Linked DNA regions of Canis lupus familiaris. The main gene of each other region encodes a partner of the protein of the gene in region 2 in a complex. Links are inferred from orthologs where the notes say so. Each region holds a gene or a part of one and is shown on either strand. Other genes may lie near its edges. The genes, in order: LSM7, LSM6 and PRPF3.

What was found.
Region 1: LSM6 (region 2) and LSM7 share a complex: the UniProt entries of both Homo sapiens proteins name them as parts of the precatalytic spliceosome. The link is inferred for Canis lupus familiaris from reciprocal best matches to the Homo sapiens genes LSM6 and LSM7.
Region 3: LSM6 (region 2) and PRPF3 share a complex: the UniProt entries of both Homo sapiens proteins name them as parts of the precatalytic spliceosome. The link is inferred for Canis lupus familiaris from reciprocal best matches to the Homo sapiens genes LSM6 and PRPF3.

The regions. Positions count from the first base shown.
Region 1 is NC_049241.1:57,200,750-57,204,424, forward strand, and holds the start of LSM7 (U6 snRNA-associated Sm-like protein LSm7), read left to right. Parts: upstream 1-774; 5' UTR 775-784; coding exon 785-790; intron 791-873; coding exon 874-964; intron 965-3,675. Other genes in the region: SPPL2B (signal peptide peptidase-like 2B), read right to left, coding at 569-628. UniProt on the Homo sapiens protein: Plays a role in pre-mRNA splicing as component of the U4/U6-U5 tri-snRNP complex that is involved in spliceosome assembly, and as component of the precatalytic spliceosome (spliceosome B complex).
Region 2 is NC_049236.1:44,950,065-44,953,809, forward strand, and holds the start of LSM6 (U6 snRNA-associated Sm-like protein LSm6), read left to right. Parts: upstream 1-1,081; 5' UTR 1,082-1,240; intron 1,241-2,449; exon of another isoform or gene 2,450-2,554; intron 2,555-3,745. UniProt on the Homo sapiens protein: Plays a role in pre-mRNA splicing as component of the U4/U6-U5 tri-snRNP complex that is involved in spliceosome assembly, and as component of the precatalytic spliceosome (spliceosome B complex).
Region 3 is NC_049238.1:60,208,405-60,212,149, forward strand, and holds the start of PRPF3 (U4/U6 small nuclear ribonucleoprotein Prp3), read left to right. Parts: upstream 1-1,202; 5' UTR 1,203-1,588; intron 1,589-1,880; exon of another isoform or gene 1,881-2,148; intron 2,149-3,745. UniProt on the Homo sapiens protein: Plays a role in pre-mRNA splicing as component of the U4/U6-U5 tri-snRNP complex that is involved in spliceosome assembly, and as component of the precatalytic spliceosome (spliceosome B complex).

The DNA.
Region 1 (3,675 bases), on a different chromosome or scaffold from region 2:
CGCTGCAGCTGTCACCCCATGAGCATCACCGCCGAGTCCTCACTGACGTCTTCCTTTTGCAGATGAGCAACTGACGCCCGAAGCTGGGGCCTCCCTTGCCCAAGGTCACGCAACAGAACACGGGGCGGCGGTTGGACCCCACTCGGGACGCGGGCTCTCGGCCGCTCCCTGTGGGGAACCGGGGGCCACGCCGGACGGCTTACCGCAACCACGCGGGTGGGCGCTAACCTCGCGCGGAAGGGGAAACTGAGGCTGGGGGCCAGGCGGGGGGCGTCCCCGGCGGCGGCCGGGGGCCTCGGGACGGAGCAGGGCCTGGGGAGCCGGGGGGCCTCCCGGACTTCAGACCCAGGCGCAACTGGGCGACGCTGCGGCTGGGGAGGGCTCCGGGGGGGGCCGGCCCGCAAGGTCACGGCCCGGCTCCCGGCCCGCGGGCCACCGCGCGGGGGGCGAGCAGACCCGAGGCTGGCCCCCAGGCCAGGCCGGGCGGGGCTCCCGCGGGGCGCGGGGCCCGGGGCGGAGGGACCGGGCGCCGCAGCCGGCGGGGCCGGCGGGGCCGACGCAGCCTCACCTGGGTCGCGAGGAGCAGGAAGGCCGCCGCGAGCCGCGCCAGCGCCGCCGCCGCCGCCATGTCAGCCGGGTCGAGCCGCAGGCGTCGGCAGATGTTTCCCAGCAACGCCCCGGCGCGCCCCGCCGCGCCTGCGCCGTGTGCGCTCCGCGCCTGCGCACGGGGGCGGGGTCAAAGGGCGCGCGGCGGCGCCTGCGCAGAGCGGCGCGCGGCGGCAAGATGGCGGTGAGCGCGCGGCGGGGCCGGCTGGGCGGGCGGCGTGGGACCCGGCCGCGCTCTGCGCCTCACGCGCTCTGCTTCCCCCGCAGGACAAAGAGAAGAAGAAAAAAGAGAGCATCTTGGACTTGTCGAAGTACATCGACAAGACGATTCGGGTGAAGTTTCAGGGAGGCCGCGAAGGTGAGAGCCCCCCGCCGCCCGCCGCCCGCCCCGCCGCCCGCTCCCCGTCGACGGCTCCGGGAGGCGAGCAGGGTGGCGGATGCCCGGGCGCAGGCCGGAGCGCTTTGCTGGGAGGACTCGCGACGGCCTCCGTCCGACGCCGTGCACGCGGGGAAACTGAGGCACGGGAGGAGCTGCAGACACCCCGAAGCGGCCGAGGCGCAGGCGGGGTCCTCGCTCCGAGGCAGCCGCCCCCGCTGGTCCCCGCTGGTCACTGACCCCCGCCCCGGCTCCTTGGGCTCCGCACTCGTGACCCTGACGCCAGCCAGATTGTTCGGGGCTGTCGGGGCGCTGGGGGGAGGGGAGCAGCCAACCCCCGGATGCCGCCAGATGCCAGGACATGCCTTAGCTTGGGCACCCCAACCAGGCATCTCCCTTGCCGAGCCGCGGCCCGGTGTCAAGGATGGTCCAGAGGGGCCTGTTAAACACAGGTGGGCCCTCCTCTGGGCCGCCCGGTCCCTCCCGGGGAAGGGGCAGCCTTGCGGAGCTCTCAGCTGCCACCAGGCTGTGACGTGCACCCGCCTGCTGGGCTCTTACCAGGCTTAAAACACAAGGCTTCTCTGGGTGAATGAATTTCAAAGATCTCGGGAGCTTTCTCCCACTATTCACGAGCCAGGGAGCACCCCACCTAGGAGACGGCGCAGAGCCCCAGAGGGTTTCGTAGGCAGAGGGTGCAGGAGCAGACGCTGGATCGCTTCCGGCAGGGTCCCCCTCCTCTGGGGGATGCTGGGGGTTCTTTCAGGAAGACTAGCTCGGGAGGGCTGACCTGGAAGTTCCAGGCTGACTGGTGGAGATTGCATTCCTGGGAGAGCTGCAGGTGCGGCCAGGTTAGGTATGAGGCCGCGGTGGGGTGGCCGGGGCTTGGCACGAGTGACGCCGTTGGGAGTCTCTCTTTCTAACTCCAGGTTAACTCCACAGTCATTTTTCTGCTCTCAGCTCAGGATTCTTGTTCCAGGAAGCCTTCCCTGATCCTCCACCCTGGGCCCCACGCCTTTGGTGTCAGCTCCTGGTACCGTCTGTCACCGTTCCCCGCTTTACGCAGTAAACACGACACCGACCTCTGCATCTTTCCCCTGGAATAGTGAGGAGGGCAGGAGCTGGGCCCAGTGTTGCTGGTGCGTGTAGGCAGTGTGGCCTCTGGGGTCCTAGCACCAGGCAGCTGGAGTCAGAGCCACAGCTCTTTGGCGCACTGGCTGTGGGACTTCGGGCAGCTCACCCCGCCCCCCAGGGCTCCATTTCTTCACTCCCCCCACCTCACCGGGCGGTGGTGAGGATCACAGGGTTGGAGGCACCTTCGATGTGGTTTCTGACACAAGCAAGCACTTGAGCAACATTTCATTTCTTCAGCTGCCTCTTTGCTTTCGTTGTGTTTCATGAGACAGTGACCCAGATCCTTTCTCCCGGAGATGTGGACGATTGGGTAGCATCGGCGTGGTTAACAGCGCGGTGCCTGCAAGTCTAGGTAGCCAGCAGTGGTGAGAACTTGAACCCGAACAGATGTTTGCTCTGTCTGCGCCGTGCTGGCTCTGGGACCCGTGAAGGAGACACAGCTCTCGTTTCTCAGGGTGCTCATATGGGTTTTCTACGCTGTGTAGCAAGTTGCCACCACGTTAGCAGCTTACGCAACATGAATTTATTATCTTGTGGTGTTTGTCAGGAGGAGTCTGGGTGCCTTGGGCTCAGGGGCTCAGGTTGCACTAAAGGAGTGTCTCAGACGCCCTGTTGGTTGTGGGCAGGGTTTGGTCCCCTGCGAGGGTCCTACCCCTGTAGGACCAGGGTCCCCGAGCTCTGCTACAGGTGTCCTAGAGGCTGCCCGCCGGCCCTGGCCACAGCACTGTCCACAGCATGGCAGTTTGCTCCCTCAAGGCCAGTGGGAAGATCCCTCTCATGCTTTGAATTTTTTGACACAGTTCCTGTTCCCCTGAGCTCATCTGATTAGGTCAGGCCGGCCGAGCAGAATCTCTTTAGGTGAGCTGAGAGGGCACTGATTCTGGGACCGTAATCACACGTGCCCGTTCCTTCGTCTTTATCCTCCTGTAACCTAATGGCAGGAGTGGCATCCCGTCCTATTCACAGGTTCCCTCCCACACTTGAGGGGAGGGGTTCCACTGGGTGGTCACCGGGGTCAGCCCCATTTTAGAACTCTGCTCGTGCCCCACGGAGGAGGGCAGACCCGCAGGTGCGGCCACAGTGCCCGCTGCCCATAAGCTCGTCGGGGAAGTGTCCTCGGGACCTTTGTCTTGCGGGCGGAGGGGAGGTCAGTCGGGGAGAGAGGAAGGCACAGAGCCAGGCGATCTCGGTCACGGCTGGAGGCGTGAAGGCGCCCTGAGCCGGTGAAGCTGCTCACAGGAGCGCAGCAGGCCGGGTTGGGCCCCCACGCCGTGGTGCGCAGAGCTGTCGGTCCCGTCCAGCCCCGTACTCCCCGCAGACACTACAGCAGCGCGGTGGAGCGTGGTGGGGGCACCCCTGCTTCGCCAGCTGTGCCTGGGCCGGGAGGCCTGAAGGCCGGAGGGGCAGGGCTTTGGGGCGCGTCCCTCTGGCCGTGTAGGCGCCGCTCCTCTGCGCATGCGCGCCACTGCTGGTTTCCGTATGGCTCGTGAGCTGAGAACGGTTTTTACGATTTCAAATATCTGAGAAACTGAAGCCATAATTGCACGTTTGTGTATCCAAGT
Region 2 (3,745 bases):
ACAATTTGAGGTCTTTTGTGAGGAAGGCTTTTTAGGGACAGGGTTTTCTTTATATCTGATTATGTTTGTTCTTTGCAGCTAATTATTTTATTTAAATGATACTTAATTTTTTTCACATTATATCTTATACCGCAAGAGCTTCAAATAAAGCCTTTTCAAGAAATCTGTAATGCTTGGTTTTTACCCAAAGTGAGCTTTTATGGAAGGATATAAGGAAATCTCTTTTCACCACCAAATCACACCCAGTTGTTCTCTGGCCGTCATATCAATCAAAGATTCTTTCTTCAGCTAAGACAGGTTTACGAGAGGGGAAACTCATGTAGATCTTAGGGAAAAAACCCTGCATCTTAGATCTGTAACACTTAAGAGTTAAGAATCTGTCCAAAGATATTATTTCTTTGTTTAGAGTGTTGCAAATCACAAGCAGAATTAAAGTATAGGTTTTAAGTTGAGGGTATGTGTGTGAGGAGAAAAAGGAATCAAGTGTTGGTATAACACTTTACTTCTTTTTCTTCGCCCTTTCCACTAATAGCAAGAATATTGAGAATCCATGCAGAATTCCAAACCAAGTTCCCATAGCAGCACTTAAATAATGTCTGCATACCATTTCCAATTAGAACTAGATTGTAATGTAACGCAAGTCATACCATTATAATACGGAGCTACTTTAGGGATTTTAATTCTTTTTGTGGCAATTACGTTGCCATGGAAACAATCTCTTGCTAATAATGACTTCATCGCACGATCAAAATCCAAAGTGGATTTAAAGATTTGAGGATGCCTGCTTTATTTATTTGCATTAACTTTTTCAAGGACCTTTCCGAGCCTGTATAGTCATGACCCTAGTAGTCAATTCCAGTTTAGTAGGACTTCAAGCTATTTCTTGCATCTCTGCCTAAAGGAAATCCTGCCTAAAAGATCACTTCCAGGCTTTGTTTTGTTTTAAGTATTTTAAGGGGTGTTTGCTTTCTGCTAAGAGGTAGCAGCAGCGGCTCTTTCTCCTCTGACCGCCAAAGCCCCAACTTTGCCTTCGGGCCAAACGAGACTCCCGGCTCGGCGCGCGCCGCCGAAGCGCGGCCTTCTTGGGCCCCGCAGGCTGCCGTAGCCCGGAAGGGCGCTCCCCGGCGGCCGCAGAGGCGCGCCGCCCGCTCCGGCAGTTTCACTTTCGGTTTCGCCCGGGCTTCGGCGGAGGCCGCAGCTGCGCGCCACCTGGAGCGGGGGTTTGGGTCCCGGCCGCCAGGTGAGCCGGGCGGCCGCGCGGGCGGCGGGGGCCCCGGTGTTCGCTGGCCCGGGGTGGGTGCGGGGAGCGGCAGCCGGGAGGCGGGCCGCGCGGACCCCAGGGGCCCGGCCCAGAGCCCCCCGGAGGGGCGATGGACCCCGCGGGCGCCCGCCGCAGCCTCCCCGCGCCGCCGACTCGCCTTCCGGGACCGGGACCGGGGCTGCTGGCGGGGTCCTCGCCGGCGGGTGGGCGGGAGAGCGGGCCGCGGGGCCCCGTGGGCCGCGCCGGGTTCCGAGGGCTCCGGGGCCGCCGCGGCCACCTTACCGGGGCCTGGGGCCTCGGGCCGCGGGCGCCCGCAGGGTACGGCGTCGAGTCCTGGCGCCGGGGCTGCCGCGGATGAGCGCGCGCGGCCGGAGCAGGGGATGGGGCCTTAGGGTGCCCCCCCCCCCCCCCAATGCCGCAGAGACACAGGCTGTGGAGATCCTGGACTCAGAAGCGCTTAGCGAAGGAAGCCCTATTCACTGAACCCCTTCCATCTTTACTCTTGCACGTGCCACTTCCTGTTTGAGCTACGACTACCTGTGCCCTCCGTTAACAGTACAGAGAGTTGTCCGCTTTCATTGAAAAGTGCCTCTTAAATGTTATTTCTGGTTTTGCGCCTTTTGGTGGGCTACCTGTTCTGTCCTTGTGTAGGTCCCGTAAATTATTCAGCCATTTCCCGACTGTGAGGCATTTAGGGTGTTTGCGAATTTTTGTTTCATCCTAGCATCCCAGGTAGTACTTTGATAAACGTTATTTTTAAAACTGCATTTCGGATGATTCACTTGGATTGATTCTGAGCAAGGACATTTTTACAATAGGTGCTGTGCCCCAGTAAGGTCTCTTCAGATCTACATACCCCTTGCCAAATTGTTTTCCAGGAGAGTTTTAGCAGTTTGCATTTCATGTAAGGTTGTGCCTGTTTTCACCAAAAGTATGATAGCTCATAATATGTATTTCTAACACGTCACCCTCACTTTTTTTTTTTTTTTTTTTTTTTTTATGGTGGTGTTTCATAATGCCAATTGCTTGAATTTTGTGCAGGAGTCTAGAGAATTATCTTGGGTTTGTGTGTGTGTGTGTGTGTGTGTGTGTGTGTAAAAGTATTACTGGAGTTCCTGCATAGGCTGACAATGTTAGAGCAGGATGATCTCTTAAGTGGTCATCCAGCATAACTCCCTTATTTTGCAGATGAGGAACCTGGGGCCTTGAGAGGTGAAATGATGAGTTCTCCAAGGTATACAGCTACATTAAGTAGCAGAACTGGGATTAGAATTCAGGTTTCCCATCTCCCAAGTGAGTACTCCTTATGCTGCATTGGGTGGTCTCTCACTAAACTGTGGCATACTTGTATGAGCATTTTTAAAAATCTTGGCATCACTTGAATTATTTTGTCCTGTTAGAAATAACAGAGATTTTAGTCATCTGAGGGAAGTGTAACACTTGGGAAATTGACCATTTTCAGGACTGGGACTAAGAAATCCATTACTTAAAATGGCAACCCTTCAAGATTTTTTTTTTTAAAGATTTTATTTATTCATTCATGAGAGAGAGAGAGAGGCAGAGGGAGAAGCAGGCTCCATGCAGGGAGCCTGATGCGGGACTCGATCCCAGGACTCCAGGATCACGCCCTGGACCAAAGGCAGGCGCCAAACCGCTGAGCCACCCAAGGATTTCCCCCCCTTCAAGATTTCTTGACAGTTGTTTTTAGATTCCCTTTATGTCAGGATAAAGTATCTAAAAAGTTAGAATTTAAAAAAAAATTAAAAGTTAGAATTTGTACTCGATCATCTGATTAGAATTGAGCTGTTTGTTCTCATTTGTTATACCTTGAAAGTTTTTTAAAACTCCTTGTTGCTTGAATACTAGAGAACAATGGTTTTTTGATAAAGGGTTTATAACAGAGTTTTTCAACCTCAGTTGACATTTTGGGCCGGATAATCCTTTGCTGTGGAGCACTGTCCTGTGCTTTTTAGAATGTTAAGCAACATCCTTGGCCTCTATGTCCTAGCACCACCCTCCTCATTCAAGACAGTCCAGAATGTCTCCAGATGTCCGCATTTGCTTACAGGAATCATTTGGGAAGCTTTATAAAATGTCAGTTACGGTGTCCCCTTGCCTGGGGAGTCTGACTAGGAGTAGTAGACTTCAGGAATCTGCATTTTAACAAGCATCTCTGTTGACTCGGATGCAGCTGGTTCTTGTACAACACAGAAACATTTCTATTTTCTTTGTCTTTTATTTGGTGGTCAGTAGCAGAGATATGACTGTGGTATAGCCATTTAAGTGCACAGATGATGCAGTGCTAGTCACTATACCCATAGTTTGCGGGTAGGGGTGAAAGGGACAGGGATTTTCCTTGGCACTGTCCTCAAATGTCTCCCACAGGATTGATTGGCCGGTGAGCTTAGGTTCCTTTTCCCCTGTCTCTGAGAAGCTTAGAACCTACTGTGGGAGACTGATCAACAGGAAAACTGCAGAACAGCC
Region 3 (3,745 bases), on a different chromosome or scaffold from region 2:
GTGAAATTATCCTTGGCATGTTCAAGGAGTAAAAGGGATTACGATTCTGGAGTTGAATGAGTGAGGGAAAGAGTGGTGGTAGGTTGAAATCACAGAGGTAATAGAGTGGCACATTTTACTCTGAATTGTATGAAGAGCCAAGAAATGGTTTTAAGCAAGGACATAACGACCTTTCTGAGGTGTTTACATGGTCACTATAATAGCTGCCTTTCTAGTACTAGATAATTTGCTTATTAACCTACATTATGAGACAAAAGGGGGACAGACTGGAAGCAGGAGGCTCCTAAAATAATCGAAACATAAAAATGAGAGTAGTGGAGGTGGTGAGAAACAAGTGGGTTCTGTATGTATTTGAAAGCAGGACCAACAGAACACAGGAGTCCAGGATGATTCCAAGATTATTGGCCTGCCGAAACTGTAATACAGTTGCTCTTAACTGAGAATGAAGACTTGGAGCTGGTATTTTGGCAGGGCGGATGCGGTGTGAAATCATGAGTTTAGTTTTCATTATCGTGTAAACTTAAGATGTGTTCCAGACTAAATAGGCAATTGACTATTATATGTAATATAGCTTATTTAACTCTATGAAAAGCACTGTTTTAAGTGCATTACCCTCATTCTGTCATTGTTGACCTCAGAGCAGCCCCTGTGAAGAGAATTTTTTTTAACAGGTGAGGAAACAGGGCTTCAGTAATTTGCCTGCTTTCATAGCTAACGCGTGAGATCTAGAATACAAATCTCGGCAGTCTGACTTTAAAGCCCCTGTCCTTAGTTTAAGCAATATCGATTTTCAGAGGATGTCTGGCATATGGCAGTAGGCAGTCAATAAGTATTACGCCAATGAATGAATGAAACCATAAAAGGCACAGATGGAGGGCATGCTATCTTCGGAGTCGTCCTATGTTAGTCATTTTTCTTGGTGGTCTCTGACACTACACTTAAGTAAGGGAAAAAGGTTAAAGTGGTGCCGCCTCTCAAGATGGTTTACTGCCTACCAGAAAGGCTCAGTTTAGCCCGAACCCAGAAGCCTCGCTTTTTAAAAAAAAATAATAATAATAAAAATTTTTTTTAGATTTTTATTTATTTAATCATGGGGGGGGGGGGCGGGCAAAGACAGAGGCAGAGGGAGAAGCAGGCTCCATGCAGGGAGCCCGACGTGGGCCTCGATCCCAGGTCTCCAGGATCACGCCCTGGGCCCAAGGCAGGCTCTCAACCACTGAGCCACCCAGGCGTCCCAGAAGCCTCGCTTTTAGCGCATTTATTCACACTGTGAGTACTGCAAGCCCAATTTCTGCTTCAGGCAACATTAACTTCGCAGTAATCTAGTTACCAGATTTAGCTGGAGAAACCCAAAGACGCAGGAACTTTCATGCGCAAACTTTACTGCCCTGGCACGCATGCGCTCCGCCGCAGAGAAAGTAGCTACTACGGCTGCGCAAATCGGTGGCCCGGCCCTTCGCCGTCACATGTGGGGGACCGCGGCGTGGCGGCAGCTGTGGCGGTAGCGACGGCAGGCCGTAGGGCGGTCCGAGGGTTTCCGGTTCCGGTGTAACGTTCGGGCTCCGTCTCAGAGGCTGAAGTTTGTGAGGTGAGTAGTGCCCCGGGCCCTTTGAGGGTATCCTCCTGTCTGAGCAGCGAGGGCCGGGACTCAGCCCACGGGGAGGACCGAGGCGGGAACGTTCAGTGGGAAGGAAGCTGAGAGAAGTACAGGGTTCTGAGGGAGAATGGGTTGGAGTGAGATTGTGAGGAGGAAAAGGGCGGGGGCGGGAAGGGGACGGGGTGGGGAGACTAGCTGTAAGATGAGGAGTTTGGGGAGAACAGGGTGGGGTAGGGAACCGGTCGGAGATAGCAAACAGAAGAATGGGAGTTGCAGGGGGGAAAGTCAGGTTAGCAGGGAAGAACACGGAGTAAGGAAATTTTTCAGAAGATTGGATTCTCCTACCTGCTCAGAGATCCTGCCTTCCTCTACTTCCACCCCCGCCCCGCCCGAGGCAGTTATTGTCGAACATTTGATTAGTGACAAAAAGCTAGTTACTGTTTGAAACTTTTATTTTTGCCCACTGACTGTTTAATTTCCTAGAGGATTGGGTTGAAGTTGAATACATTTGTTAGTATGGTACTTGAGCACACATTTCATCTGATAGAGCGGTACGTGATTTGTTCTTTGGATTTTCAAAATGCTTACCCTTTCTAGCCCATGATTCAATTCTGGTGGAATATAAGCCCCATTAAGGCGAGGATTGTCTGTTCACTTGTATCCTCAGCACACAGTACACTGCTTGAGACCTAGTACTTATGCAGTGTTTATTGAATGATTAAGGATTATTTAGATATGGCAATTGGCTTCATTTTGTACGACAAGTAAACTGAGGCTCAGAGGAATTACTTGCCAAATAAGAGTTCGATATTTCAAATGTTCAGTGTGAACTCTTTTCTTCACTCATTTTGGGGTCTGAATCTGCTTCTTTTGAGTAACGTACATTTAATATGTATTGATTTATACACTATACTGCTATATCATGAGAGGTGAGTAGAGCTGCCATAGAATTATTCATATAACATGTCCTGAGGCACACAAAATCTTTCACTCCTATTTTCATTACGTTAATCTACTAGCTTCCAGTGGTTATACCAAAATTAAATACACAGTTTAGCAACAGGTCTTATAGAGAATAAACCTGCCAAGAAAGTAGAAGTTAATTAGACCATCTTTTAAGAGAAAAAAGATGTCTTAAAATATCTTGAGGGGTGCCTGGGTGGTTCAGTCAATTTGGCATCTGCCTTCAGCTCAGGTCATGATCCCAGCATCCTGGGATCAAGTCCGGATTCAGCTTCTCCCTCTCCCTTTGCCTCTCCCCACCGCTCATATGTTCTCTCTCTCTCAAATAAAGTCTTTAAAAAATAAACAAAAAATCTTGAAAGATTGACTCTCAGAGACCCTGATTTGTAGCACTGCTGTGAGGAAGTTAGCTTGAAAATTGAGGTCAGTGCTGTTTATTAGCTTTAGGCACTTAGTGAGAAAATCAGGGAAATAACATTTTCTCTCTGCTCATGAGCTATGCTATTTTTTTTTTTTTTAAGATTTATTCATGAGAGACACAGAGACATAAGCAGAGACATAGAGGGAGAAGCAGCCTTCTCGCAGAGACCCCAATGTGAGACTCGATCCCCAGACCTGGGGGGGATCACTCCCTGAGCTGAACACAGACGCTCAATCACTGAGCCACCCAGGCATTCCAGGCTTTACTGTTTAACTAGGAGAGCAAAATGTAAACATGAATAATTTTGAAGAATTGCTAACTTGGGTAAATAATTAAAATTTGTTATAGAGAGTTCTTTATGATAATGTTTTCTCTGCTAAGCTAAAAGCTAAAAAGAAAGGAATAAAGATGTAAAGGGAGAGAGGAGTGCCTAGATGGCTTAGTGGTTGAGTGTCTGCCTTTGGCTCAGGTCATGATTCCACGGTCCTGGGATTGAGTTCTGCATCAGGCTGCCTGCTTCTCCCTCTGCCTATGTCTCTGCCTCTCTCTCTGTGTCTCAAATAAATAAATCTTAAAAAAAAAAAAAGAAAGAAAGAAAGAAAAGGGAGAGAAAGCACATCCAAAATGAGGGTATTCTTTTCTGAGCTGAGGGATTAATTTTGTGAAGTCAACTGATAGAGATCTCGTAGAACATAAAATGATCTGGGTACAGAATTTCCATGGGGATGACTATGACTACAGAGAAATGTGACAACATTCTTAGG